7 linked regions of the Coturnix japonica genome follow. The protein of the gene in region 4 purifies or fractionates together with the protein of the main gene of each other region. This does not show direct contact. Links are inferred from orthologs where the notes say so. Each region holds a gene or a part of one and is shown on either strand. Other genes may lie near its edges. The genes, in order: U2SURP, PHF5A, SMNDC1, SF3A2, SNRNP200, SNRPD1 and DHX15.

Evidence for each region.
Region 1: the proteins of SF3A2 (region 4) and U2SURP purify together in Homo sapiens (affinity purification with mass spectrometry; 3 studies listed by BioGRID, with this or other methods). This does not show direct contact. The link is inferred for Coturnix japonica from reciprocal best matches to the Homo sapiens genes SF3A2 and U2SURP.
Region 2: the proteins of SF3A2 (region 4) and PHF5A purify together in Homo sapiens (affinity purification with mass spectrometry; 5 studies listed by BioGRID and IntAct, with this or other methods). This does not show direct contact. The link is inferred for Coturnix japonica from reciprocal best matches to the Homo sapiens genes SF3A2 and PHF5A.
Region 3: the proteins of SF3A2 (region 4) and SMNDC1 purify together in Homo sapiens (affinity purification with mass spectrometry; 4 studies listed by BioGRID and IntAct, with this or other methods). This does not show direct contact. The link is inferred for Coturnix japonica from reciprocal best matches to the Homo sapiens genes SF3A2 and SMNDC1.
Region 5: the proteins of SF3A2 (region 4) and SNRNP200 purify together in Homo sapiens (affinity purification with mass spectrometry; 4 studies listed by BioGRID and IntAct, with this or other methods). This does not show direct contact. The link is inferred for Coturnix japonica from reciprocal best matches to the Homo sapiens genes SF3A2 and SNRNP200.
Region 6: the proteins of SF3A2 (region 4) and SNRPD1 purify together in Homo sapiens (affinity purification with mass spectrometry; 4 studies listed by BioGRID and IntAct, with this or other methods). This does not show direct contact. The link is inferred for Coturnix japonica from reciprocal best matches to the Homo sapiens genes SF3A2 and SNRPD1.
Region 7: the proteins of SF3A2 (region 4) and DHX15 purify together in Homo sapiens (affinity purification with mass spectrometry; 4 studies listed by BioGRID and IntAct, with this or other methods). This does not show direct contact. The link is inferred for Coturnix japonica from reciprocal best matches to the Homo sapiens genes SF3A2 and DHX15.

The regions. Positions count from the first base shown.
Region 1 is NC_029524.1:9,017,268-9,020,953, reverse strand, and holds part of U2SURP (U2 snRNP-associated SURP motif-containing protein), read right to left. Parts: intron 1,995-3,686; coding exon 1,890-1,994; intron 1,629-1,889; coding exon 1,562-1,628; intron 1,465-1,561; coding exon 1,301-1,464; intron 200-1,300; coding exon 37-199; intron 1-36.
Region 2 is NC_029516.1:45,263,280-45,267,513, reverse strand, and holds the start of PHF5A (PHD finger-like domain-containing protein 5A), read right to left. Parts: upstream 2,984-4,234; 5' UTR 2,827-2,983; coding exon 2,775-2,826; intron 2,659-2,774; exon of another isoform or gene 2,564-2,658; coding exon of another isoform or gene 2,512-2,563; intron 2,417-2,511; coding exon 2,393-2,416; intron 1,357-2,392; coding exon 1,190-1,356; intron 1-1,189. Other genes in the region: ACO2 (aconitate hydratase, mitochondrial), read left to right, coding at 3,151-3,186.
Region 3 is NC_029521.1:22,832,302-22,836,739, forward strand, and holds the start of SMNDC1 (survival of motor neuron-related-splicing factor 30), read right to left. Parts: upstream 2,804-4,438; 5' UTR 2,684-2,803; intron 2,432-2,683; coding exon 2,312-2,431; intron 1-2,311. UniProt on the Homo sapiens protein: Involved in spliceosome assembly.
Region 4 is NC_029543.1:1,224,466-1,228,619, forward strand, and holds the start of SF3A2 (splicing factor 3A subunit 2), read right to left. Parts: upstream 2,950-4,154; 5' UTR 2,893-2,949; intron 2,071-2,892; 5' UTR 2,020-2,070; coding exon 1,894-2,019; intron 1,489-1,893; coding exon 1,417-1,488; intron 1,098-1,416; coding exon 1,051-1,097; intron 448-1,050; coding exon 338-447; intron 1-337. UniProt on the Homo sapiens protein: Component of the 17S U2 SnRNP complex of the spliceosome, a large ribonucleoprotein complex that removes introns from transcribed pre-mRNAs.
Region 5 is NC_029537.1:1,058,103-1,062,512, forward strand, and holds the start of SNRNP200 (U5 small nuclear ribonucleoprotein 200 kDa helicase), read right to left. Parts: upstream 2,809-4,410; 5' UTR 2,720-2,808; coding exon 2,675-2,719; intron 1,594-2,674; coding exon 1,430-1,593; intron 567-1,429; coding exon 395-566; intron 276-394; coding exon 83-275; intron 1-82. Other genes in the region: protein FAM178B, read left to right, coding at 3,173-3,443. UniProt on the Homo sapiens protein: Catalyzes the ATP-dependent unwinding of U4/U6 RNA duplices, an essential step in the assembly of a catalytically active spliceosome. Plays a role in pre-mRNA splicing as a core component of precatalytic, catalytic and postcatalytic spliceosomal complexes.
Region 6 is NC_029517.1:39,382,146-39,386,286, forward strand, and holds the start of SNRPD1 (small nuclear ribonucleoprotein Sm D1), read right to left. Parts: upstream 2,801-4,141; 5' UTR 2,624-2,800; coding exon 2,610-2,623; intron 2,058-2,609; coding exon 1,981-2,057; intron 892-1,980; coding exon 700-891; intron 1-699. UniProt on the Homo sapiens protein: Plays a role in pre-mRNA splicing as a core component of the spliceosomal U1, U2, U4 and U5 small nuclear ribonucleoproteins (snRNPs), the building blocks of the spliceosome.
Region 7 is NC_029519.1:66,716,241-66,719,926, forward strand, and holds part of DHX15 (pre-mRNA-splicing factor ATP-dependent RNA helicase DHX15), read left to right. Parts: intron 1-2,045; coding exon 2,046-2,239; intron 2,240-3,033; coding exon 3,034-3,193; intron 3,194-3,600; coding exon 3,601-3,686.

The sequences.
Region 1 (3,686 bases), on a different chromosome or scaffold from region 4:
AAAAACCAGAAGTACGATTACACAAAACCTCCACACCTTCTTGGGAAGAGGAGTCTTCAGAATGGACAGTGATTCTGTAATGCAGTCTACAATTTCTTCAGCAGCTTCTGCGTTATTTAGACAGAAAACCATCGCATCACCAATATCATTCTTTCGAGGCGTTAGCCCACGCAAAATTTCCTCCAGCTTGTCTCTCTGTCTGAAATAGAAAGATTACAATACTTTCAATATAAAAATCAGCAGTATTTGCGGAATTTCTATTTAATGTTTTTGATTCTACTGACTTCAGGACTAAGGAAATTTGAAATAGTCATCAGTTCTACTCCTGAGCTATTTTTCAGTGACTCATAACATGCACCAATAAGCCCCTGTTCATCACATAAAGGAATAATGCTTGAAAAATTCACTGTTCAAGTATAAGCTATGAATAGAAATGAAGAAAAAATAGCTGACAAAACAGCCAATGCAGAATATTAATATATCCAAACACATAATAATCAATTTGAACATTGCTTAAGCCTGAATGAAAAATGAGTGAATGGAAGCCGTGTAAGTAATTTATAACATGGAATCAGAATCATCAGATAGAGAAAATTAGTAGAAAGCAATTCTTCCAGGTCTTCAATACAATATGAAGAAATCACTTTTAAAAGAGTATCTTTTTAACCTTTCTAAAAAGGAAAGGGAGTTACATAATATGTAATACATATGTGTTAATGTGTAATAATACCTATGACTTCAGAACCACAACTTGTGTCATAATTATGACGAAAAGGACAAAATGAGAATAAAAATCCACAGGCTATGAATACACTTGGATCAAAGACAGCAAAATTTAAAAAATCATGTAAGTATTCCCATTATTATTGCTATATATATATATTATCCACTATTACAGCCATTCCCATCACACATACAATTCGCTGCAAAGATCTCTGGCAGTCTCTCCCTTTTTGCTAATTAGTAACAGCTCCCTATTTTAATTTCAGAATAACATCAATAAAATTAAGATAACAACTGTTTAGTTCGCTCAGTTCCTACAATGCTAAGATCACTGTTTTGTAACTTCACTAAGAGACAGGAACAGAAAAAAAAAAAAAACAAAAAAAAACCAACAACAACAAAAAAATAAACAACTCTTCTCATACTCCCCATCCCCTTCATACAAAGGCTTAATATCCACTCTGCTGAAAGAACTCATGGTTCAGTGAAGGCAAACCTAACAAAATCCAGAATGTATTTAGCACTAAGAATCATCAAAAAGGCACTAATATAAAAAATAATGAATGAGAGTTCATACTCCTCCTTAAGTGCACCCTTCTTGTTTGGTTCCTCCACGAATGCCTCGGTTTCTTGCTCTTCTGACATCCCATGTAGGTATGGATTTAATGGTGGTGGCCTCCAAAAAGATCCATTTTTGAACATACGGAAATCTTCTGTCCTCCACTTGGTTGGAGCATCTCCCTGCAAAGAATAAGTTTTTGATTTAGCTTTGTTTTGTCTCTTTACTTCTACTTCATAATTCTTAATGTTACAAACTAACACTTAAGACTTTACTGACCTGAAGAATTGAATAAAGCTTCCATCTGTAATACACATGGGCTGGAGTCTGGTTTTCAAACAGAAACCTAAACCAGAGAAGACAGACAAACAAAACACACTAGAAGTTAATTACCTGAAGATAATTTGAAGGAAGCCATAGCAAATATACCCAAACCCTGTTCACAATCACACTCCACTGCACAACCACTGTTGGAGCTACTGCAGCCTCAGCACAAGCTGAGGAATTCATAGCAAAACCAATTCCTATTAGCAGTTCAGAAGTGCAAAACACTGGCTATAGCAAAAGTAGTTTACACAGTTTCAAATTAAAGCAATGTAATAAGCACCTGAACATTGGGTTGTTGATTTCTCGGTTCATGATCATGGCTTCAAACATAGGCCCTTCCCGTACCACAAACTCTATCATTCGATGTATCAGTGCGAGCAAATTCCTACAACAACAACACAGTTAAAGAAAAATTGATTCAGACCTAACACTATATAAAGCTACACTCCATCTAAGATACTATAACTGTGCAGGAGATTATTTTGCTGTATTGTTATGGACTGTACAGAAGATAAGGTAACATGGAACGAATAATAGCCTTGCATCACAGACACAGGCACTCCAAAATAAAAACATGCCTAAGAGCGCTCGAGTAACAACTTAGAAGGAAACCTCATTGCTGAATTTCCACAGCTTAGTCTACAACCATCTCCTGCATAGGAGAAGCTCAATAGTCCTTATGCATAAAACGGGCAACTGAGCACAAAAGTGCAATAAACCCTTATAATTTTAGCCCTCACCTAATGAATCTAGTACTAAGATCCAAGTGTTAACTGCAGTTCTACAAACAAGCAAATGGCTGAATACTGTGTTCAAAACTAAATGCAAATGGTTTTGAATATTCAATAGAAACTGCATTCAGCTCTCAAACTATTCAAGAATAAATGGAAAAGCAAATAGCCTTCTTGATGCCAAACAGAGCAGTGGCTCCTTTCAATTTGGGTAAACTCCTTTTGGTCAAGACTCAAGGATGAGATGCTGAACAAAATTGTTCATCATTCCATGTCACAGTACTCAGTGTTTCCTTCCTACCACAATCAAGAGAACCAAATCACAATTAAAGAAAAACATAAAAATCTGTATTCATTTTATTCAGCACTACTTCCTGAGACGAGCAAGAAGCATATTTGAATTAACTGCATGTTTTTGAAGCCGCATTTGAAAATGTAAATTCATTTATAAATGTGCTAATGGCTTACATATATATATAACTATATATATATATATAGTTATATAAGCTTTATAAATTAACGTTCTTTCAATTTCCAACCTTTTTGTTCTGTGGATTTTTTTCCCCTAGAAACCACTTTCTAAATGTTTCAAATAAAGATTATCCACACATATCAAAAACTTCACAGCACGTGCCTTCTGAATGCGATGCAAACAAAAAAAATACAGATTTTTACATTTTTAAATAAATTTTCTCAAATGAAACAAACTGGCACGGGTCTTTTAAACTAAAGCTCCCTATAGTAGATTTTCATTATCAGAATTCAAAATACTTGCATTGAAAAGCTGAATATCTTTCTATCAGATCTTGGTATTTAGGTGATTATTTTCCATCATGTGTAATCAAAAATTTGTCACAGATGCAACATATTAGATAAAATATAAAATATAGCAATAAAAAACCTGCCCATCTATCTGCAAACTTGGCAAACGTTTTATGCCAGCCAGCATTAATGTCTCTTTTCCTTTCATATCACACACACAAAAAACCAAACTGATATGTACAGCTTAGCTGTCCTATACTTCCACTTTTTATGACATCCTCAACACTTTAAGGAGGACAGTATCAACAGTTCTTCAGCCATTTTATTCAAAGCAGCATTCTGAAAGTCTAAATAGCAAAACTGTTCTTGTTATATGAACTGTATTTGAAAACACACATAGAAAAATTACAATGCTCTTTCACATCTCTGAGCTATCACAGCGTTTGTTTATTGTAAGGCTTCAATATGATCAATATGATCAATTCAGGCTTCCTGCAGAACCATGCTACTGGATTTCATTTAACTGTTCATTCATCAAGCACAATAAAATTGCTTAAGAGTGGCTTATGGTTGGGCAAGTACAT
Region 2 (4,234 bases), on a different chromosome or scaffold from region 4:
TCTGACTTGCTATCTGCTCCTCCAGCTCTATATTCTCTATAACCCTCCCTTCCAGAGCAGCGAGCTGCTCTACATCTGAACCTACAGATGAGACTAGAGCACGAAAAATACCTATTAGGAATCAATATGAATTGGTCTATTTAACTGATAAACTGCCAAACAAGTTCTTTGGTCCCACAGACAAGACAACAAAACTACTGCTTGTCACAGCACTTCTAGATGTAGAAGGCAGTACCACCAACAGCATTTCTATCCACATATAATACTTAGATACTAAGAAAGATGGTGCTCCCGCCAGATCTACTGACTAAATTCAGACACGGGCTTGCCCTGCAAGACCTCTAGAGAAAATATGGGTGCTGCAGAAAATTAAAGCAGCAGCTCAGTCAGCTAAGTACATTCCTCTAAATCAGAGCTGTTTGTCAGCACACTCTGCTGACATCAGGGTGTGCTGGAGATGGTGTTTGCAAAGGATCCAGCCCCAAAACCACACAGCCGATACTCTCCATTGGGTCCATACTCTGACACACTGCAACCGCAAGCATCACGTTCTTGCATTTCCCTACAGTCTTTCTACTACTTCATTGGCAGTTCTTCATGACTTGCCCTCACTATGATGGATATTATTGAATACCTAGAGAGCGAGCATCTGCCTTGTCAAAGGACGAAGGACACTAAGGGCTAATTTTACTGTAACACAAAAGTAAACATGGGTGGTGATTCTGTAGGCCTTATGGTACCATATATGCCAGTGGCATGATCATACCATGTATGGTATGATCACGGACACAGTAAGAAGCTGATCCTGCCACTGCCTTTGCAACGTCTAAAGTGTCTCTGCTGCTGATAAAACTTTGGCTGAGAGATTTAGTAAGATAACAGCTGAAAGTGGTAACAAGCAGAGCGTGGAGGAAGTGAACTGTGAGTATGCATCGTAAAGCACACAAGGATCCTATGGGATACAGAATCGAGGCACTGCTCGCTACCTCAAAGTGCTCCACAAACACTGGGAACCACCGACAGAAAAAGAAACATGCAAGGAAATGAAAACCAGTGCCAGTTCTGGGAGAGGAACCCAAGCATCCAATGTCCTAACATTAATATCACTTGCTCTAAGTCCCTTTAAAGATAAGCATAGCTATTAAACAAAGACATAAGCAATTCTACAGGAGACTGGATGACAACGTACATCTTTTTCCTGGATGGTGCACTCCTTGCAGTAGTAGGCATCAGACACCCCTGGGCCCCCGCAGATGACGCAGCGCCCTTGGTACGAGCCGTAGTTACACTCATCACATATGCGCACCAGGGTGCAGGGCCGCACGTACGAGTCACAGATCACACATTTGCCATCACCTGCAAGTACAGCAGTCTTTGGTTACAGAACGTCCTTTTCTCCACCCCACATAAAAGAGGAAAAGTCTGCTGGACAAAGAACTTGCCTGTATGCTCAAAGACAACGCAGTTAGACTGCAGAACTTTAGCTTACAGGCACAAGGTGCAACTTTATATTTACACAGACTTCAGAGGAACGAGGGCCAACAGCCAGCCATATCCAAGGCCAAAAAAAGGGCAAACCGGCATAAATTGCCACTTCACAGAGTTGCTCTTGCTTTCTCACAAGGGACTGAGAGAAATACAAGTGCTCTTATCATACAGGCAAACAGCCATCAGATGCCATGGACAGTCTCTGCTCTGCGGGCCCCGATCCAAAACTCTGACCTCCAGATGAAAGGCTTCAGATCTTATTACCAGTTCCCAAGGTATTTAATCCTGACTCTCACAAACAGCTCATTTAACCTGCTCTTCAATCTCAGTCCCAACTGCCCTCAGCTACTACCACTGGGAATCCATTTAACTTCTGTGTACTTCTGAAAACAGTTCAGTTGCTTCAGACTGTGCTTCTCCTCACTTCGCTTGTTTTTAACATTTTTTGGAGCCTAGAAATAGCTGGCTTACTTGTACTGAGCTCCTGCAAGGATCTAATGACCAATTGTGCTTATTCTTTTCTGCTATAGGTGAGCACGAGCACAGAATTATAGGGGTTGGAAGGGATCTCCAGGAATCAAGTCCAACACTTTGGCCAAAGCAGGTTCCTTGCAGTAGGTTGCATAGATATTTGTTTTTGCATATTCATCTGCTGTAGCACTTTTTTCCATCCATTTCCCATTCTAACAGATGCTGAAGGGAAGCTGTGCGGTCTTTTTCTCGCACTTGCTCCATACACTCAGGCCAACACACAGGTCACTCCTCCCAGCCCAAGCTGCAGTTACCTGCTATTTCTATTTGGTTGTGACCCCAAGTCAGCAGCAGAGCAAAAAGAGAAACCGAGCTGCAGGCACTTACCACAGAGTTGGGTTCTCAAACAACTACACGCAGAAGATGTACTTACATTTCTCACAAAGCCTTCCAATTGCTGTAAGGGGAAAAAGAATGCGAAAAAACACATATTACTTGAGGCTACATTTAGAACGCAAATACAAGCGACGCCTGTCCTCAGGGCACACCCACCCGGCCCACAGTCCCTCCGCACGGTGTCCGGCCAACGGCTCCCACCGGCCATAAGGAAACCCGCACTCAGCGCCGCATCGCGATCCCCAACCACATCCCTGCGGCCTCGGGGAGCGCCACGAACCCCGAGCTCAGAGGGCCGAGGGAAGAACGAGGAGCTGCGCGAGGGGCCTGACGGGCACCTAACGGGCACCTAACGGGCTCGAACTGCCGCCCGAGCCCACCGTCAAGGTGCGGAGGGCCACGACCGCGCCGGTACTCACCGACGCCCGCCTGCTTGCGGCAGAAGATGAGATCCGGATGGTGCTTGGCCATGGCGCCGGCGACACTTCTCGGTGCTCTGCCGCCGTGTCCCGGTCCTGTCAGGGGTGTGGAGAGCGTCCGACAAAGCGGCGCTCCGGGAGGGGACACCGACCCGTAACCGAGCTCCGCATGGTGCTTCAAACCCAATCCGCCTCGCTGCTCCCTTCAACGCGGGGAACGCCCGTACCCCCGCCATGGGAACGCCGCTCTCTCCTCCGGTACCTCCCTGCCAGGACCCGCTGGACCCCGCCCCCTTCAGCCTCCTCCCGCGCCAGAGGTATCAAAAGGGCGGACTGACGCCATCGGGGCGCGACTTCATCTTTGTCAGTGCACAAAATGGCGCCGTACTGCGTCCTGGCGGCTCGGCTGCGGGTGAGCGCCGCGGGACGGGCGGGGCCGGGCGAGGCCGGGCTGGGCGGTGGGGTGAGGGCCGCTGCAATCCTGGACGGAGGGCAGAGGGAGCGCGGGGCGGCGGGCGGAGGCGTGGGGCCGGGTCTCCGCTGTCTGCGCGTGTAGGTCAGCGCGTCCCCGGCGCGGCCCGACGCCCGTTTCCATGGCGATGGCGGGGCCGCACCGGCGGAGGCGGCTCGGCCGCCTGATGGGCCTCGGTGTCGGGCGGGTCCCGCCGCCTCCGGGCACCGCTGAGCCTCAAGGTGAGCGCAAGGTGACCGCGCCCGGGTAGGCCGAGATATCGCGCCTGGGGCCGTGCTTCCTCCTTCCGCGGGCTCCTCCTCATCTCGTGCCGTTAGCAGCCTGTGCCCTTGGCTGCCCGGCTCCAGGACTGCGGCCTTTCATGTGGATGGGAGTTCCTAGATCTGTTTGTTAAAGGGGCCGTGCAAGGCCAGGCGGCCACATCAATTATCTTTTTATTATTATTATTTTATTTTCCAAATGGCTTGAATCTACCTTCATAATGACTCTCCCAGTCTTCTCCATTGTGACCTCTAAAACCCACGTCTGCTTGTGCCCATCACGGGCACTACAGTACTAAGGGCATTATCCCGTTTACTATCTACTCACTAATAAACACTTGATTGTTTTTTAAAGCCTAGAAGGCAGTAGAATGCCATTTTCTCATGTAGTGCTGCTTGCTGTGCTGCCCTCAGTACGTGCCACATGGTGAAGCTGAGAGCTCGGACTGCTCCATTTGCCAGCTGTGACCTTGGGGAGGGTGTTCCCTCTACCCAGGGAGCTGCAGCAATAACCTTATCAGAGAGTCACAGAATAGCTCAGCTTGGAAGGGACACGTGAAGGATCGTTGAGTGAGGTGCTTTGAAAGCACTTTGTGAAGAAGGCAGTGGGCGTAATACCAAGCTTGCCAGAGTTCAAGAAGTGTTTGGACAATGCTTTCACACATAGGGCCGGCTTTTTGGGTGGTACCACGTGGAGCCAGGAGTTGGGTTTGATGATCTTTATGGAT
Region 3 (4,438 bases), on a different chromosome or scaffold from region 4:
CAACTGTGGACTTAAGACTTGCTGAGGGAATGGTGGTGAAGAAGCTATTCTTCATTCCTCAAGAACAAAGAAGACTGTAAGCAGTTCCCAGATAGCAGGTTAATGCAATGTACCCTTCTGTGCACTTTCATCCAATAACCTGTACAACCAGAATGAATGTCCTGTTTGTTTGTAGCGGTTGTTACTGTCTTAATTTGTCAGCACCTTTCTAACAGAAGCTCTGTTCTCTGTTTTAAGAACTTGCTTGTTTCTAAATTGAACAGTAATCACAATGGGTAGCGACTATAAGCACAGTGACATGCTGAAAACTATTTCTATTTAACTTTGATCTCTAACTTCTGTAACATTACAGCTGAACTAGAACAGACTCTGAGGTTACCCAGTTTGAGAGCTCTTCAGAAAACACAATATCTGCATAATTTTTCCTTCCAGGTGAGAAACACCAAACCAGCCATCAACATACAACTGTATGTTGTCTGAAAATTGAGAGGCTTTGAAATGGGTGCCATCTCAGCATGTCAAATACATGTAAATGGAGTGCCAGCATTTCTGCTGTGCGTGCTACCAGCGTGACACAGAAGTGTTGACATGTTCTCATCACGTTCATCGGTGGTTTATTACAGAACTCCAAATGGGAGTAGCTGAAAACCATTCTACCAGCAATTCTTCAAATCCGATGAAGTCATTTAAACAACAAGCAACGAATAGCAAACTTTTGGTACAAATCTTCCTGAGATCGTTCTGTAGCAATCTTTAAGGGAGCAGCTTATTCAATGAACATCTCTGCACAAGAGACACCACAGCAGCTTAGTCCAGGAGCTGAGCTGAGCAGCAGGATGGGCTGCTGTGTCTGTGTGGCATGGGAGTGTGACCTGCAGGGAACTCCAGTGAGAGTCTGTCAGGGTTTTTCCTCACCAGCTGCTCTCTAAAAAACTCAGGCAGAACTTTATATTCCATCTCCAACTACAGAAGGTGATGGCTGCCATCAGTTCTACCTCGCACAAAGCACAGAGTTCGTTGCTTTGCTGTATGGACAGTGTCCAAAGAAGCCCTTCAGTGGAACAAAAGGCAAAGAGCAAAGCATTTGTAAAAGTTTCTTGTCGTATTTATTTTAATCCCGTTCATCAGGAATAGGCTCAGTATACAAAATGCAGCAGTGCATCTCTATGTTAAATGTAAGAGGATCTTTCAGCTTCACATTAAGTCTGAACAAAAGAAAAGCTCCATAGTCAGGACAGAACGCACTGAACCCACGTTTACAATCGTTAGGTTGACATGTTAAGTCTGCAAAACATTGTCTACGTCATTTGCAAGGTGGAACATATGAATAGCAAACCTTTTGGGGACGACAGTGTAAACATCTTCCCCATTCTGTGCAGAAAGCTTTTATTAAAAAGTTTGCAAGTTGTCCTTTCACATCAATGATCTCAAAGCCGAGGTCGGGTTGGTATCGGAAATATCCCATATGGGTTTGGCTGTGCATTTTAAAAATATAAACATATACACATGCTTTTAACAGTGTACAGCAAAGGACATTCAGATGATCTACTAAGAGCCCTGTGGGCACCAAGCCTTTATCATTTAAAAGGAATTCTAAAGATCACTGACTGTGTCAAAGCAATCCACAGCAGAAAGGAGGCAGCATCCTGCACTCTCACGTGAGATTTGAACAGTGCTGTTTTCTTCTATGCCAGTGTAACTTTCTATACACAAGAATCTAAGAGCCCTATTATCAATTTAAAATTAGCCGCTGGTCTTCCTGGCACTGAACAGTACCTGAAGCACAGAACTGGTCTGAGCTTTTTACAGGGTGCTACGCTCAAACGTTTAAAGAAACTGCAGGTAGCAAATGAAGGACACATCTGTCTTCCTTTCTTACATAATTCTTAGCACAACAGAGGATTAGATGTACAAGGGATGCAGAAACAGACTGAAGTTTATATCGTTGCACGTAATGAATACACGGATCCTAGATGAAGGATTTGACAGCTCAGGAACAGGCAGAATGAAGCACTGTTAAGCCACCCATTAGGCTTCAGCACGTACACCTTTACGAGATCAGGTTGCCCAGGGCCCCGTCCAACCTGGCCTTGAACACCTCCAAGGACGGGGCATCCACAACCTCCCTGGGCAGCCTGTTCCAGGGCCTCACCACTCTCCTAGTAAAGAACTTCCCCGTAACATCCCTAACTCCCGGGATTCGAGTCTCTGTGCTGCAGAGCGGCACTTCTACCACAGACAGCTGCCACACAGACATCAAGGAAAGGTGAAAAAACCCCCAAACACCCTCAGGCCGCTCCCACTGCCTCACCTGCAAGTCCTTCTTTAGCTTCAGCAAGTCCTCGTTGTCAGCGTTCCCAGACAAGGCCGCCTCGACCTGCTGCAGCTGGGCCTTGTAGCTGGCCAACTGCTTGGCCAGGTCTTCCGACATCTGCAGGGAACACACAGCTCAGCACAATAACAACAACAGCGGGCACGGAGCTCCTTCACCTGCACTGAGAGCTGCACAACAACGGCAGCCTGCGGCGTAACGAGCCCGATCCCTCCCCTTCCCAAGGCCCGGCCGTGCGGGGAGGCAGGGCCGTAACACTAGGCCTAGGCCCAGGCCCGAGCGCGGGCTGCCTTCCGGCGGGTAGCGACAGGCAGCGGGGCGGTATAGAGGGACCGAGCGGCCGCTACTCACCTCGGCGGGCGCTGTGGGGCCCGAGGGCCGGGCCGGGCCGCCGCGCTGGAGCCGTGGGGCCGGTACCGCCTGATGGCCGGAGCTGCGGGCCGCGCTACGGGACGGGAAGTGGGAGGAGCCGGCGGACAACGCGCACCGGGCATCGCGAGATGAGAGAGCGGCGCTGAGCGGCACGGCTCGGTGATGGCCGGTAGGGGGCGATGCTGCTGCGCGCACAATAGACTTATTCTATTTTCCTATAGTTCTATTTTTTACTCCCAGGAGGGGAGTAAACTCTTGGAAAGGGCTGACAATAGCAGGACACGGGGAAATGGTTTTAAGTTAAAAGAGGGAAGATTTAGGTTGGATGTCAGGGGGAAGTTCTTCACTAGCAGAGTGGTTAGGCCCTGGAACAGGCTGCACAGGGAGGTTGTGGATGCCCCGTCCTTGGAGGTGTTCAAGGCCAGGTTGGACGGGGCCCTGGGCAACCTGATCTAGTAAAGGTGTATGTTTGGTGGCCCTGCCAGGCAGGGGGTTGGAACTACATGATCCTTGAGGTCCCTTCCAACCCGGGTCATTGTGTGATTCTGTAACAAATTAACCTCTCATGCTTTCTATTTATTTTGTGTAACAGTTTATTATTGTAGGCAGAGCCATCCAGTTTGCCCATAGATGCAGTTCTGTGATATTTCATGGCATTGCTGTTGTTGCTCCATTAAATTACAAGGTTGGAGTTTCCATTCTCTCTCTATTCCAAATCATGGACTCGGAGTTTCACACAGTTTGGCTCTTTTTGGTTTGTTTGTTTGTTTTTGCCATTACAACTCCTGAATCTTGGCCTAATTCTTGCTGTTTGAAATACCTGTTCTTACAGGAGTTTGTTTGTGAAGTGAATTTAGGTTCTGAACATAATTAAACTCCCTGTAACCCCGGTACCCGACCTGAGGTATGGCGCTAAGCGGAGAAACAGAGAGTTCTGACATGTTCTGTACTGTGAGTGATTACAGTAATTATCCCCCATCAGTGAAAAGGCCCAGTGACTCAAAGTGAGGGGGAGAGGTGAATCAGAATTGAATGAGGATGAAGAGACAGGGCGGAGCATCGTGGAGATAAGAAGAAAAGGTCAGTATTAGGGAGAAGTGACAGAAAGCCTGCGCTCATTGGGGCATCACCTGCTCCAGAAGAGCCTGAGGTTCTGAGTTTTCTGTTCACCTACTGTTGGCAGCTTTGTGAATCCTGACAAAATGGTGTCTCCCATAGGAAATCCCAACCTGCCGGCACACAGCTGGTCTGTTCAATGGGTCTGCGTCAGGATACACAACTGGCAGATTGTCAGGTGGTTTTTCAGCTCGACGTGTGCCTCCAGCATGGAGGAATATGCCACGTCAAGGCATGGCTTCTCTCTGCGAGGCACTCTGTGTCAGCGAGTGTGTTGGTGCTGATTGCCTGGGGCCTGGAGATGCTGGTTCTGCAGCTCAGGGTGCTGGGTAGGCTGCGGCCGAGATTGCTTCTGTTCACACGAGGCTTGGATGACAGCAAAGCTGAGAAGATGATGGGAGGCTGGAAATAGAGAGCAAGGGCCAGAGCAGTGGGTAGAAGAGCCTGGGAGGATTAGAGGAGCCTGAAGCAGTGAGCCAGCAGCGTGGGAGGGTTGGGAAGCAGGAACTCGAGGTTAACATGGGAACAGCGTAGGGGTGCTTTGTGTTTGTGTGTGGGGAGAGACCTGGGAAGCACGGAACAAGGAGTGCTGCTGTGATGAATGGAGGGGTTGGGTGG
Region 4 (4,154 bases):
ATAGTATATTGCTCTGCCATAATAGAGATGGCAGAGCACAATAAAAGGGAAAGAGAGACTGAAGCAATGCCACCATCTCCCATATGACTACAGTAAGAACTGACAGAGACTGAGACGTACTGATCTATTATTAAAATGGCTCTCACTCGACTGTCAGCAATAAAGAGACAACCCATGGGTAATTTAAACAATAAAGGACATCAGGAGATAAGCCCATATCTTATTTATGGATAGCTCTGCTAAAAAGGCTGATGAACAATTCATGCCCACAGCACTGCACTTCAAGCAAGCTCCAGCAGCCACGGGGTATCTGCTATGACAGGCACTGCTGACAAACCTTTGTAACCTGGTCGTCCAATTTTCACAAACTTCTTCACTTCCACTTTGACTTTTTCTGGTGCAGGTTGGGCAGGAGCTTCCTTTGCTTCCTTGGCAGCTCGACGAGCCCTGGGTTCATTGGAAACGCGCAGTGTTAAATGGTTATCAGCACTTGGTTCTGAAGGATACTCTAAAAGGCAGAGTGAGTTCTGTATGACGGAGCATTCAGCACTTCACAGAAAGCATAATGGGAAACTGCTGCTCCTCCTCCACAAGCACCATGGGAGGCCAGTTCCACTCCTTGCCTTGACTACAATCTGTCACCTCCATCACCTCACCCACTCCTAAGAGGACTTTGATGTCCAGCTCCACAGATGGAGCTGAGATGACTTCTTAAAAGTCAAAAAGGAAATGAATTACACAAGCCAGGTATCTAAAGCAGAGCAAACCTGAATTCTTAGATTAAAGCTTACAAACTTTTCTCAAGCTGTATTCATAAAACAGCTTCCCTTACAGTTATACTTAATCTAAATGCCATAGCTGGCTTTGAAGTGGAGCTTGTCAGCACCACTGTTCAGAGCAGAGCTGGTGAATGCCTAGGAAACAAACAGAGACAAAGAGCATTCAAGCCCAGAGTGCTACTACATGATGGAGGCCAAGATTTATAGGTGCTCATTATCTAATTTTAATGTGCCCAAGTAATGGAGAATAACACGGTGGAGAATGACTTACAGATTGGTCTGATGCTTCTTCCCCTGCGTATGTGCCAGGTAACTTCCCTGGGGGGAAAAGAAAGTTATGAAGACTGAACTGTTCCTGAACAGAAAGATATTTGTCACAGATGAGAGGTGACATTTCACACTGACAAAGATATTTTAATCCTCAGAGCACAGCAGAATCAAACTCACAAATTTCAGATTGCTCACAACTGCTGAACTGTCAGAAACTTGTCATGCTTAACACACACAGCCTCTGCTCCCCCCATTGGCCCTCCAGCAATCAGCCAACGGGAACAGCTTCGGTTCCAGCACTTGGAGCTAGAATTAGTCTAAAATATCTGCTGCCATGGAGATCAAGACAGACAGCTGCTCAACTCACCTCATTGTTATGGAGCGTCAGGCAAAGCTTGCATTCATAAGAACCCAAGTGATTTTTCATAAAATAGGGGTCCTAGGAAGAGAAGGATTGAAAAGTTACATGTAAAATCTGCATTGGAACAACTGAACAACCGAGATTCTAAAGCAGAGCTGCACTGTAAGAACTCTATGAGCTCATGGAGTGAAGGGATCAGCACAACACTGCTTTAGGAATATAGAGAAAAAGGAACAAGAGCAGTTGTGTTCACTGGTAACAGCACACCCAACTGCAGCATAATAAGAACCAGTGCCAAGACTGAACATAACAGAAGCCCAGTGCTGGTATCCCTCTGCTTGGCCCTTCCACATGTTGCTCGAGTCCCTCATCAGTGGGAACAGAAGTATTTATTCCACTCCACAGATCCCCACTAAACCTCTCACTCTCTGCTGAGATGAAGCCCTGACCTCACCCCATGTAGCCTGCAGGACTGGGGCTCACCTTGTTGATGTCAATGGTCTCCAAAGCCAGTTGCCGAAGCCTCTCCCTGCGGTCTCGGTTGCTTTCTGAGGCTGAAGCTACGCCTCCACTCCCCGTTTTACCTCCAGGACGGTGCTGAAAATCCATGGTGGGGATTTCTGGGCTTTGGAGACTTCAGGAGAAAAATAAAATAAAAGTCTGGAAAAATGAAGAAAAGACACATAAGTGACAACACAGCCCTAAGCTGGGCCTCGCATTGAGCCCTGCCACGAGGACACGGCCCAGGCACTGCCATTACCTCAGCAAGAGACAAAACCACCCCCAGCCCACCTCTACCCTCTCACACAGGGTCACACACCCCCCAGCCACTAACATGGGGGTCACAACCCCCCAGACACCCCCTCACCCCCCTCTAAACACCCCCATTCCCTCAGCGAGCACCAAAGCTCACCTCAAAGCCCCCTACAAACACCCCCCGAACTCTCCATGCCACTTATAGCCCCCCAGTTTCCTTTTGGAGGGTCCTGTCCCTCCACTAAGAACCCCTCTAAGCCCCCTCACCCCCCTCATTCTCCAGTGCAGGTCACAGGCTCCATAGGTTCCATAGGCCCCACAGGCTCCATAGGTTCCATAGGCCCCACAGGCTCCATAGGTTCCATAGGCCCCACAGGCTCCATAGGCCCCACAGGCTCCATAGGCCCCACAGGCTCCAAATAGGCCCATATGCCACAGCCTCTATAGGCCCCATAGGCTGCACATGCCCCATAGGCCCCACAGCCTCCACAGCCCCCACAGGTTCCATAGGCCTCACAGGCCCCACAGGTTCCATAAGCTCCATAGGCCCCACAGGCTCTATAGGCCCCACAGGCCCTTATTCCCTTAGCGACGGTCACTGCCCCGAAACAATCCCCCACAGGGCCCAAGACCCCCCTCCAGACCACCCCATCCCCTCAATGAGGGTCTCACTCCCCCATATCCCCCCTTTAAGCCCCACATCCCCTCCCCCTAAATCCCCCATACCGCCGTGCTCAGCCCCGCTCCCGGCGCATGCGCTCTGCCCTCCCCCTTCCATCCCCTCTAGTTCCGGATAGAGCACTACCGGGTCGGGTATGGGTGGTTGTAGGGTTGGGGTGGTTGTAGGGTTAGGGGTGGTTTGTAGGGTTGGGGTGGTCGTTTGGGGTCCGACATGAGGTACAACGAACGGGAGCTTGCTGTCCTGTCCAGGCAACCGGCAGAGAAAGCGGCAGAGATCCATGATGAGGGTCCCCAAGAAGGGGCAGCGGTAGAGGGGGGGGTGGGAAGGGGGTGAGGGTGGAAGATGGGGGGGTTAATTGGGGGTGGGAATGGGGAGTGATGGATTGAGGTGTGGGATGGGGGTAATGGGGTGGGGGTGGGATGGGGTGGGGTAATGGGATGGAAACTGGGGGTATTGGGATGGGGCTGTTGGAATTGGGGGTGCTGGGGCAAGAGCTGGGGTGTTGGGATGGGGGTTGTTGGATAGAGCTGGAGGTGTTGGGATGGTGGTAAGGGATGGAATTGGGGTAATTGGGATGGGGGTATTGGGAATGGAACTGGGGTATTGGATGGGGTATTGGCATAGAGCCTGGGGGTGTTGGGATGGGGGTATTGGGATGGAACTGGGGGTATTAGGATGGGGCTGTTGGAATGGGGGTGCTGGGGCAGAGCTGGGGTTTTGTTTGGGATGGGGTATTGGGATGGGGGTATTGGATATGAGCTGGGGGTGGGATGGGGATGGGGGTGTTGGGGTGATAGGATGATGGGATGGGGGTAATGGGATGGAACTGGGGTTATTGGGATGGGGGTAATGGGATGGGGGTATTGGGATAATGCTGGGGGTGTTGGGGTGGGGACAGGAGTATTGGGATGGGGGTAATGGGATGGAACTGGGGGTATTGGGATGGGGGTGTTGGGATAGAGCTGGGGGTGTTGGGATGGTGGTAATGGGATGGAATTGGGGGTATTGGGATGGGAGTACTGGGTCAGAGCTGGGGGTGCTGGGATTGGGGTATTAGGATGGAGCTGGAGGTGCTGGGATGGGAGTATTGGGATGGAAGCACAGGGATCAGAACGGTGTACTGGGATAGGAGCGCTGGGATGACAATGGAAGTCCTGGGGTGGAAGCACTGGGATGGAAATGGAGATGCTGGGAGTGCTGGGATGGTTTGGGGGCCCCACACACGCTGGGCTCGCTGTCACATCACTCCTTTCCTTCTTCAGTGTTAAAGAAGCGCCTCGTGAAGCTCGTGGTGAACTTTCTCTTC
Region 5 (4,410 bases), on a different chromosome or scaffold from region 4:
TGATCTGAATCTCATTGTCACTATCACAATCTGTGCCCATACCCATGTTCTAAATCTTCTTGTCACCATAATCTGTCCATACCCATGTTCTGGATCTCCTTGTCACCACCATAATCCGTGATCTTCTTGCCCAGGTTCACCAGCACGTGATAACGGGTGTCGTCAGTCTGGCCCAGCAGCAGATCGATCTCTTTACGTCTCTCCTTATCACGCAGCTTCTCGTTCTTCAGCACTGCCAGCACTTCATCAGCAGCTCCACACAGAATGTCTCGTGGCTGGGGAACAACCAGCAGCCACATAAGCAGGAGATCACCATAGGGGCAGATATTATGGCACAGATATTATCCCCCTTGTGATATGGATGTGCCCCCATCACACACATCCAGCTCCTCACCTGGTCCCCGAGGGCAGCCTGGATGAAGCTCAGCAACACCTCGTAGGTCTCCCGTGTCTCTTTGGTTTTAGGCTTGTAGATGATCCCCACCATCTCGTCGATGCCCTCGGACAGCAGAGTGTAACCCTTCATCTTGTTGATGTCGTGTCTGTCCTCATCGCGCTTCCTCCTCCTGCAAACAGAGAGCACCCATAGCAGCTCAAAGCAGGGAATCCCAGTAATGCTGGACAGCAAAGCGTGGGCCTTCCCTTTGTTAAAAATAAAGGTAAACTCTGCCCCGTTTTTCCTCCTTTTTAGCCCTTTTCCTTTCACTTTTCGCTTCCCGACAAGGAGAGAGAATGAAGCTGCAAAGGGTCTGGAGCCAGTTTACAATGAGCAGCTTAGGGAATGGGGTTATTTAGCCTGGAGAGAAAAGGAGAAACTCCATATCTGCCTCAAAGGAGGACACAGCAGTGAGGGGGGGTTGATCTTTTATCCCACAGCATCACAAGAGACCCCAGCCCTGGGTTGAATTGGGGAAGTTTTGGTCGAGGGGAAGTATTTCTACATTGGGAAAGCTGTGAAGGATGCTGAAGGATCAAAAGGTGTGTGTATGTGGTGCTTGGGGATGGGCTGATGGATATGGGAACGGCTTTGGGGTAAAAGAGGGGAGATTTAGGGTCACCTTCTTCACTATGAGGGTGGTGGAACAGAGGAGCTGTGGGTGCCCCAACCCTGGAGGTGCCAAAGGCGACTGAAGTTGTGTTGGGTATAAGCTGGAGGGGGGCACCAGGGCAGGAGATGAACCTGGGGGGGCTCTGAGGACCCACAACTCAACCACATATAACAACCATATATGTTGGTATCTGACCATACACCAACACGATACCACCACTCAATGCCACCACTCAGTGGTGTATGCACCAATTGGGATCCATCACCTCACAGCTCTTTCCCAACCTCCATCACTGTGTGATTCCACATTGCTTATAACCACTGAAGCCCCACAGCCCCCTCAGAGCCCCCTCCCACCCCCAGGCCCCGCTCAGCTCTCACTTGGCCCGTCGCTCCTCCTGCATCTGTGGCTTGGTGCGCTGCGCCTTGTCTCCCATCCGCGTCCCTTCCAATTTACCCACCAGGGACAACACTTCACCCGTGGGTTCATCGCGTCGCGTCCGGTCAATGAGAGAACGGTCAGCTTGGAGCACGAGGTTGGAGTTCTGGGGGGGGGATGGGGGTCACAATGCATCAGGTGGAGCCTTTATGTTCCTACAGCCTTATTACACAGCCCTATATCCCTCCCACAGCCCCTATTATCCTCCCCACAGCCCTATATCTTTCCTAGAACCCTTATTACCTTCCCCACAGCCCAATATCCCTCCCACAGCCCTATATCCTCCCACAGCCCTTATTATCCTCCCCACAGCCCTATATCCTTCCTACAGTCCTATATCATCCCCACAGCCCTTATTATCCTTCCCATACCCCAATACCCTCCCCACAGCCTTTATCACCCCCCCACAGCCCTATATCCATCCTACAACCCTTATTTTCCCCCCCACAGCCCTATATCCTTCCACAGCCCTATATCCTCCCCACGGCCCTTATTACCCCCCCACAGCCCTATAGCCATCCTACAGCCCCTATATCCTCCCCACAGCCCCTATTACCCTTCCCATACCCCAATATCCACCCCACAGCCCTATATCCCTCCCCACAGCCCAACATCCTTCTCACAGCCCTACATTCCTCCCATAACCCTTATTACCCTTCCTATACCCCAATATCCTTCCTACAGCCCTATATCCTCCCACAGTCCTTATTTTTCTTCCTACAGCCCAATACCCTCCCCACAGCCCTTATTACCCTTCCCATACCCCAGTATTCTCCCCACAGCCCTATATCCCTCCACAGCCCTATAAGCATCCTACAGCCCTATAAGCATCCTACAGCCCTATAAGCATCCTACAGCCCCTATATCCTCCCCACAGCCCTATATCCTTCTTACAGCCCCTATTACCCCCACCCCACAGCCCTATATCCTCCCATAGCCCCTATTATCCTCCCCACAGCCCTATATCCAGCAGCCCCCACCGCCCATAAGGGACGCAGGCCGCACCTCCAACCATCTCTTAAAGCCCCCGGCTTCAAACAGGCCCGGTTTAAATCACCACAGGCCACACAAGGCCCGACAAGGCCTCACTATACGAGATCCGCCATATTGGCCCCCGTTAGACGGGGAAGGCCCGGAGGAATGAGGCCGGCATCCCCACCGCGCACAGGCCCCGAGCCGGCACTCACCGCCTTGTACTCGTACTGCAGGCTGCGAGCGGTCACGTCCGCCATGTTGCCGCCCCGCCACCGCCGTGCACGGGAACAGGCCCTGGAGCTGAACTTCCGGCGGAAGCGGAAACAACGGAAGCGGAAACAGCCCGATCCCGGAAGAGGTTCCGCACAAGGCCTCCCAGCATGCACCACGGCAGGGGCCCGTTGACTGCAGCTCCCAGCATGCACCGCGGCAGAGGCCCGTTGACTGCAGCTCCCAGCATGCACCGCGGGAGGTGGGGGGCGGGGACACTCTCCACCCCTTCTGATTGGCTGAGAGCACAGGTGGGCGGGACACTTCTCTTCTTTAACCAATCCCGTTCAGCGCGCGCGCTGATTGGTCGAACCCTCGAGCCGCGATTGGCTGCCGGGCTCCTGTCGGCAGTTAAACGGCCAATCCCGCCGTTAGTAGCCGCACTTGGTAGCGCCGCCTTTCTGAGGAGAGCCCGCCCTTTTCTCTCACCCCGCCCGCCCATGGCCGCCATGTTGCGCGGGACGTCGGCGCGACGAGGTCAGCGGGCGGGGCTGCTCCGCTGGTACCAAATCCCGCTGTCCTCGGCCCGTGTGCCCCGCTCGGGGCTCTTCAGCTCGTCCTTCCAGTACAGCCTGTGTTCCTACCAGCAGCTCCGTGTCAGTAAACACCTCCGGGTAGGCCGCCCCTTCCTCCCGCCGCCGCTCGGCCCAGTGGATCCGCGGCCTCCGGCCTCACCGCCCCCAATGAGGCCTCAGGGCGGAGCACGGACAGGTGAGAGAGGACGGGGGGGGGACCATGTTTGGCCCCACATAGAGCAACACAATGATCCCCTTGTATAGCCAGGGTCCTATAGAGCCCCCACTGATCCCTATTGAATCCTCAGAGCCCCTATAGAGTCCCCCATTGATCCCTATTGCTCCCCATTGATCCCTATTGATCCCTATTGATCCCTATTGATCCCATTGATCCCTATTGATCCCCACTGCCCCTATAGAGTCCCCCACTGATCCCTATTGAATCCTCAGAGCCCCTATAGAGTCCCCCATTGCATCCCCAGTGCCCCCCACTGGTCCCCATTGCATCCCCAGAGCCCCTATAGAGTCCCCCATTGCATCCCCAGGGCCCTATAGAGCCCCCCATTGCATCCACAGTGCCCTATGGAGTCCCCCATTGATCCCCATTGTATACCCAGAGTCCCTATAGAGTCCCCCACTGATCCTCTTTCTATCCCCAGAGCCCCCATAGAGCCCCCCATTGCATCCCCAGGGCCCCCCACTGATCCCCATTGCATCCCCAGAGCCCTATGGAGCCCCCAATTGCATCCCCAGAGCCCCTATAGAGTCCCCCACTGATCCCCATTGCATCCCCATTGCATCCACAGAGCCCTATAGAGTCCCCCATGGATCCCTATTGAATTCTCAGAGCCCCTATAGAGCCCCCCATTGCATCCCCAGTGCCCCCCACTGATCCCCATTGCATCCCCAGAGCCCCTATAGTGTCCCCCACTGATCCCCATTGCATCCCCAGGGCCCTATAGAGCCCCCCATTGCATCCACAGTGCCCTATGGAGTCCCCCATTGATCCCCATTGTATACCCAGAGTCCCTATAGAGTCCCCCACTGATCCTCTTTCCATTCCCAGAGCCCCCATAGAGCCCCCCATTGCATCCCCAGAGCCCTATGGAGCCCCCAGTTGCATCCCCAGAGCCCCTATAGAGTCCCCCATTGCATCCCCAGGG
Region 6 (4,141 bases), on a different chromosome or scaffold from region 4:
CCAAATAATTAAGCATAAATTACAGGAGAAATGGCAAGCAGTTGCTTTAGAGCACGATTACCTTTAACTTATTTCTGGAAAGACACACTGATTAACACTGCTGGGCAAAACTTTTACTGCCTGAAGACACAAACTTTGTGGAGTTTACTGGATATTAATTGTTAACGGCGCAGAACAAAACCAGAAGCATTCCCTATTCTGTTAGGCTTTAAGGGCTTTATCCACAGGAACACAGCCTCAGCTCCCTCTGCATTCTGAAGCCCCTTCAATTCGGTTCTCCAGCAGATTGTTTGTATCCACTGCCAAGTGAGATTTCAGTCCAGCACCGCTCCTGAGGCTGCTCTATATTTTCTTATTAGGCTAAATACAAAGTTACACACAGAAACCAGGGAAACAGAGCAGACATTTTGAAAAGAGAAACTGTGCATCCCATTGGTGCTGCCTCTGAGAATGCCATAGGTTAAGATTTACTCACACTTAAAGACGTTTACACTTTAAAACAGATGCATGAGAAGCTGTGTAAATAACTTCTCATGAAAGGAGACTACAGACACAATGAAGGTACACAAGGCAGAGTTCGGTACAAACCCTCAGAGATGAAAGCAATACAGAAATTAAGATTTCCAATCACATGCCTTCAGAGCGAGAGCACGAAAACACAAAGTAAAACAAGCAGAGACTGGGAAATCATGCACTCACCTGCTTCTCTTTTCTTGGACTTGACTTTTGGTTCAACATCTACTAGCAAGGTGTCCAGGGGCAAACTGTCTGGTAGGATGAAGTATCGGATGTTATTCCCCCGAATGCTCAATGTCTCCAGCTGTACAGGCTCCCTGTTCTTCAGCGTCATTTTCACAGCCTTGAGATGAGTATTCATACTGACATCCACTCCTGAAATAACACAAGGCTGATTTCAGGGGTGGGAACACACAGGATGACTCCTCTTTGGCTATTATTAACTGTGCACGTGCTTCAAGACTTTGCTAACACACGCTTCTGGATCTGTGCCATTTGTTAATTAAGCCTCTTAAGTGGAAGAAGAAACTACATCTTTTTTTCCTCTATTAATTATGCTGATTTATCAGCTGCTGCCCTCAACACTGATATATTTCCAAAGGAAGAGCCACTTACCACCAGCTGTAGGGATCTGTTCCTAGGTCTTAAGTCATAGCAACACTAAACACTTAAAATGATTCCTCCGGACAACAAATAAACTGCCACTTACTACAAAAGCATAATATTTGTCTTTTTTACTCCTTTCAAAAGAAAGAAAACGAACTTTTGAGTAGAAAAATAACACTGCGTTTCCTTCTAAGTACAACCATGATCTTCTGATCAAACACATCTAACATCAGCATCAGAAGCACCAACTGCAGGTGGCACCGTGGCTGCAACAGGCTTCGTACACCCATGTACAGGGATGACTGTCATTTTAGAACCATGGATGGCACTGCAGGGTTTTACAGGTTCTTAGCACAGCATGAGAGAGACTTTGCTCAACAGCGAAGGCTGTGAGAGTACAAGGGTAGGAGGCACAGAGTGCTGCCACCACAGCCAGCTTCTAACAAAATGGACGGATCTGGCTGCAAAATAACGTGCTTTTAACCCTTACATCTCAGTAGATTGTAACCATGTTCAGCATTTACCATTTATCTGTGCTACCGTTAGAAAAATATCTCTCTGCCAGTGACTCAGTGGTGACTTCTTGATGCAACTACAGTGTACTGCAGCTTTACCAATGAGATCACAGAACGGTTTAAGTTGGAAGGGACCTTCAAGTTCCAGCCCCAAAATGTTCTGAAACATAAGTGGATAGGCTGTATGACCACTGCCCTTTGATACAGCAGTGACACTGTCTCACAATGCCTGCATGCTGCTGCAGTAATTTCAGATTACCACACTTACACCAGCCACGCCAGCACCGGTTTCCTTTACCCCACACAGCTCAGATCAGCCTGGGAGGCTGCTGGCACACCGTACCTGTGATGGTGCCATGCACCTGCGTCCCGTTCTTCAGCTCGATGGTCACAGTCTCGTGACTCAGCTTCATCAGAAACCTAGGAATTAAGCACAGAGTGTTTGCTGTCACACTAAGCCTTATGTCCAACCACATGCTGATACGGGGAACCGATCGATGTACATCCTAACGCAAACGTTCTCAGCTGCCATGAACTGCACTGAAGGTGCTCCATGGGGCAAAGCCAAAGCCCCAAACGGCGCCCAATTGCCAGGGGCTGGAAACGGTGGCACCGGGCTCAAGCAGCGTCGGGACAACGCTTCCAGTCACAGGGTTTGTGTTTTGAGCGCCCTGCGTGAGTTGGGTTCGGGATCCCTCGTGCATCCCGTCCAACTCGGGCTGCTCTCTGACCACCAGCTAAGCAGCAGCCATTTTGGATCTCGGCACCGCGTGAAGGCGCTTCCACCCGGCTCCGCCCCCAACCCCCCGGGGTGGTTTCCCGGGCAGCCCCGCTCGCAGGCCCAGCCGCTCGCCGCAGAGCCCAGGCCGCAACGAGGCCCCGACAGGCCGGGCGGCCTGTGTGTGGGGAGGGGGAGGCGGCCTGCGCGGGCTCCCCGCCGCCTCTCTCCGCGATCCGCCTCCATCCGCTCACCTGACGAGCTTCATTGCGCCGGCGGGACGGCGCGGCGGCCGCGGGGCTTTCGGCGGGCAGCGGCGGCCGCCCCTGGGGGCACGAAAAGGCCTCGGCGGAAGCGCCGCGAGCGCGGGCGGACAGGAACGCGGCCTCCAACGAGCGCACCGAGCCCCGAGAGATTGAGCGGCCGCCGCCGGCTGCGATCAATGGGCGGAAGCGGCGCGGCGGAAGGGGCGGGACGCAGCGCGACTGCGCGGGGCTGAGGGCGGGCGGGCACTGAGGGGATGCGCTGCCGCCATTTTGGAATGGTGGGCTCGGGATTATACGTATCTAAGCACTGTAGCTGTGTGCAAATAGTCTAGTCCGCACCAGCGATGCTTCTACGTTAAGCAGTTGATAAGGAGCTCAGGCACACAAACGCAGCGGCCAGGATCTAGAAAAATCAGACCTTTTATTATCATTGATGAGTACACTGTTGTGATTTCTGCAATACAGACTCTTTTTGTAAAGCACTGAGATCTGGCTGCCCTCCAGCTCTGAGAACCCACGTTAACCCACGTCTCTCCCTCCATCCCTACACACACACCACAGCTCTTCTTTTCCACATGAAATCTGTTATTTTATGTTTTGCTTTAAACAAACCGCAAAGAACCAAGTTTGAGAGGGCAGCTGCCCGAGAGCCGTAAGAACCATTACATACTGAGTTTATGGTGTTCCTGCACTTTGAGTCTATGACAGAGGTGACACTGGTAAATGAAGTCAGAGAGGAGTTTCCAGTTAACCACCAATTGGTATTCCCAGCACAGCATCGAGAAGCAGACAGAGGCATGGTGAGTACTGATGTTTATGTGCAGGTTATGCTCACATAGAACCAGAAGCCTCCAGCAACATTCAAGGTTAAAATGAACAGATAACTGCAAAAGTCTGTACACAGTTTCAGTCACAACACAGTGAAACACTGGAGTATCAGTGCTTTGTGTTCTAACCTCAGTAACAACAACTGTGCTAGCTCTAAGATTCTACACGTTTCTCCCCCCATTTACATTTTATAACTGCAATCTGAATATACAGCTGTACTTACAGGAAATATTAAACAATGTGCAGCGCCTTAAGCAAGTTTCACGGCTGGTTTTGAACAAACCATATAAAATAAGTGACAAAATAGTTTAAAATTGGTCCTCAAGTAGGATTACTTGTTTTTTATACAGCTTGGAAGCACTAAATTTAAAGACACACATTTATTGTTAACCAGCACATGTTATTTTGTAGCTTTTTAAAGAAAAAAACCTTTCCTTTTAAAGTGTGTTACATCATGCATGAAAAGCAAGAAGCTGCTCCCAAGTGCAACATGGCATTAGGGTGACACCTCCTCCTCTGATCCATACTCCTTTTTTTTGTGAGTTATTCCAACAACATCAAGAACAGAAGCAGCTGACTAGCAAAAACAATACCAAATTCACCTTTGCATTGCAACCATTCTTAAAGTGATGGAGAACTTTGGGCCTTTAGCATAAGGAAGGTTTGATAAACCCTGCAAGGAGTTTTACATT
Region 7 (3,686 bases), on a different chromosome or scaffold from region 4:
TAACAAGGGATGCCACTTTCCTGCAAGGTTTTGTGGCTCTGGAAATTCAGAAGCAGCATTGGGGGGTTGGACTCGATGATCTCTAGAGGTCCCTTCCAACCCCTACAATTCTGTGATTATACTGAGCATGGCTTTATCTCCTGCTGTCCTTGTAGCCTACAAGAGAGATGACATGAGTAAAAGTTGGACTCAACTATTAACCAATGACAGTTGTGAATTCTACCCTAACTTTACACAGAAAGTTCATTGGATTGAAGTATCTCAGAACAGGCAGAACAGTGCTCCTTCCTCTCCTGTCTTACATTCCTTTAAAAAATGTGCCTTTCTTTTGGCTTGAAAATGGACTTCAACAATCCTCACTGCTTTCATCTTTGATCTCACAGGTCTCTGTGTTTCTCTGCCCCCTTTTTTTTTGGTTGGTAGTTATCTTTGAAAATCTCTCTATTGAAGTCATTGAGGTTGAGATTTAATTGAGGTTCCTTTTTATTAAGGAAATTTAGGATTTTTATATTTGCATCAGTGGAGTTAACTTTGGTCTGTAAGATCTAGATGATGGAAGTTGTTTCACGTTCCTGAAAGTGATCATCACTCAAGTAACAAACATACATCATGGTCCTTTGTCTCTTTTAAAGTGAGACATGAAAACTGTTCTGATGGTCTTCTAAATCAGATTCATGTGTTGAAGTCTACATAGGCTTTGTCTTTCATTTGGTGACAGCATTGTAGGTTTTGTTGTTTCTTTGAAAATGGCCTCTAAATTATTTTTATTTCCCTTTACTGTGTCCTGAGAAACCTGCTTTAAAGCTGATGTCAGGATTGGCTTTGTTTAAAGTTAAGAAGCTTCTCCTCATTCAGAGTTGAGTTTTTATTAGTCACTTGAGAAGCAGCTTCATTTTTCTACACTCCACTCCTGGAAAGTGTGTATGTGCTACTGGGTAGGATTCCAGACTCATGTCTTCAGTATTTATGAGCTGTTGGTATTTTTAGTTTTGAATAGGATTTTCTGAGTTCTTTTGTTCAGTTGTTAATCTTTGCTTTTTTTAAATTTTATTTCTGTACTTACAGTGGGGGGTATGTTCTCCTTTTTAAGAAAAAAATAAAACAGCTTTTCATTAGTCTACAATTGTCTGTTGTGCATATGTTCAGTTGTTTCCATTTTGCTGTAGAGATACAGCATTTGAGAAGGAAAATCTGCCTAGGTTACTTAAAACTACACAGTTCTTCCTGCTATTCTGTATTGGTTCATGAATGGTAACACTTTCTTTTTCTGTAATTGTGAGCCTTTTATAATAGTTAAAACCAATTAGTAAGGAGGAATAGATTTTATATCATCTGTAAACTTAGGACTGGCTCTGCCTGGAAGTTGTCTCCTCATGAAACATCACATGGAACATGTTAATAATATTACATTTTCTTCAGGCTGTTACTGACCTTGCAAAGTCTTCAAAGTAAAGCTGTTTATTATTCTGACTTTCTTGGAAAACCAGTGCCTGACAAATAAGCAAAAAAGCGTGTTGTTACAGAAACTGAAACACTAGGATTTCATATCTAGTTTATAACAATTCCAAAGAACAGAAGTTAACCAAATTAGCATATCTTGTTTATTTGTCATGATTCCTGGGTAGGCAAGTTGTATATAATTAAAATATCTTTTTTTTTTTCATTAATCTACATTAATGAACAATATATATATATATATATATATATATATATATTATATATTATATAGATATATATTTTTTTTTTAAATGCAAAGTATAATTTTAAGCTACTGAACTAACAGTGCTCAGAGGTTCTGTGAGCCTCTTATTTCCTTGATAACTTCAGAGATAGTTACATACTTGCTTAAGGTGAGCATGGTTTACTTAATTGTGTTGAGTCTAAATACTCTGCTTTTCTACTCTGGATATTTCTGTACATACAGTTGTCACCTCAGTGAAATTATGAATATATTTATTTGATATAACCACTGTGTTATATTTATTGCATCTGGATATTGAAGCTGTGGTTGAAACTAATTTTGTTTTATTTCTATTTCTTGGCAGATCCCTCAATGGTGTGTTGACTACATGCGCTCATTACCTGGACCAAAGAGGGGAGTAGCATGTACCCAGCCGAGGAGAGTGGCTGCAATGAGTGTGGCACAGAGGGTTGCTGATGAGATGGATGTAATGCTGGGCCAGGAGGTTGGTTACTCAATTCGATTTGAAGACTGCAGTAGTGCAAAAACCATTCTCAAGTAAGTACGGTGACTGTCCAATAAAGATCCCTGTGGAGGATGTTAGCAAGGTTTTGGAAAGAGTAATGAGGAAGTAAGAGTGAGTGGAAAAGAGATGGAAGCTGTAGTGTCAGGTGAAAGAAATATAGAACGTGGGTGTGGCGTAGACTTGAAAATGAGTTGTTCTTAAAGAAAAATGATGTGTTGAGTTGACTTCTATCAGTGGTAACTTAGTACCCAAGATAATTCTGGTGAAGTTTAGGAGTTTACTTCACTAGTAAGCAGAGGTACTAGTAAGCTTCAGAACTGATCTGTGCCTAAATCTATGGCACATAACTGAAGTTTATGTATGCTAGTGTTTCATTTATTAGCTATTCCAGATTCCACTGCTTTGTAGGTGAAACCAAGCTCACTTAGTATGTGGTTTGCAGATCACATTCACAGTGCTCAGTTAAAAACGAAACTATTGCAGGAGTAGTGTTTCTAGGATTTGAGTTGTATCTTTTTTCCTTTTTTTTCCCTGTCTTTAAATGTAGATCTGGAAGTTTGCCAGTAATAGTCTTAAAACTACTCATTAATGTTGCCAAAACTTGTTGACCCTCTCACTTTTTAAGCTTAATCTCTACTGCCGGATTTCATTTATATACCCTATGGTAACTTCTGTGTGAAAATGAAAACGGATTTGTTGCTTTGCTGGAAATAGTTCTTCTATTCTAAAAACAAGGTTTATAAAGGCTTTCTTCAAGCAACCTCATAAATAATAAGAAAGGGGATTCTTTATCAGATATAATAAATAGAATTGTCTTTGTATTCAGGTATATGACTGATGGTATGTTACTTCGTGAAGCAATGAATGATCCTTTGCTGGAGCGCTATGGTGTTATAATTCTTGACGAGGCCCATGAGAGAACACTGGCTACGGATATTTTGATGGGAGTTTTGAAAGAAGTTGTAAGACAGAGAGCTGATTTGAAGGTCAGTAATGATGAAGCCTAGCAACATCTTTGTGTTCAGCCATGCTGAAGAAGAGTGTGTATGCGTTTACCACTAGGTAATTATAAAGAAAAATAATCAACTGACAAAGATCGAGAGGCTTTTTGATCTGTTAATGGTGAACTGTATTAGAAAGGTAATGCTAGGGAAGGCCTAAGTGCAGTTTGTATTAAAGAAAATACTAGAAAGTCAGTTATCTGTACCTTTCCATATTTAATTAGGATGGTTTTTTGGACATGGAAATGAAGGTGCTGTACTATAGTGATAGAAACATGCTTAAATCATGGCTAACATTGAGTTTAGTTTCCTGCTGCTGTATTTTGTTTGTGTAACATTTCTCAGGTCATTGTCAGCCTTTGGGGTAACTTTTTTATTGTCTATACCTACAGGTTATAGTTATGAGTGCTACTTTAGATGCTGGCAAGTTTCAGGTCTACTTTGATAACTGCCCTCTTCTAACTATTCCGGGTCGCAC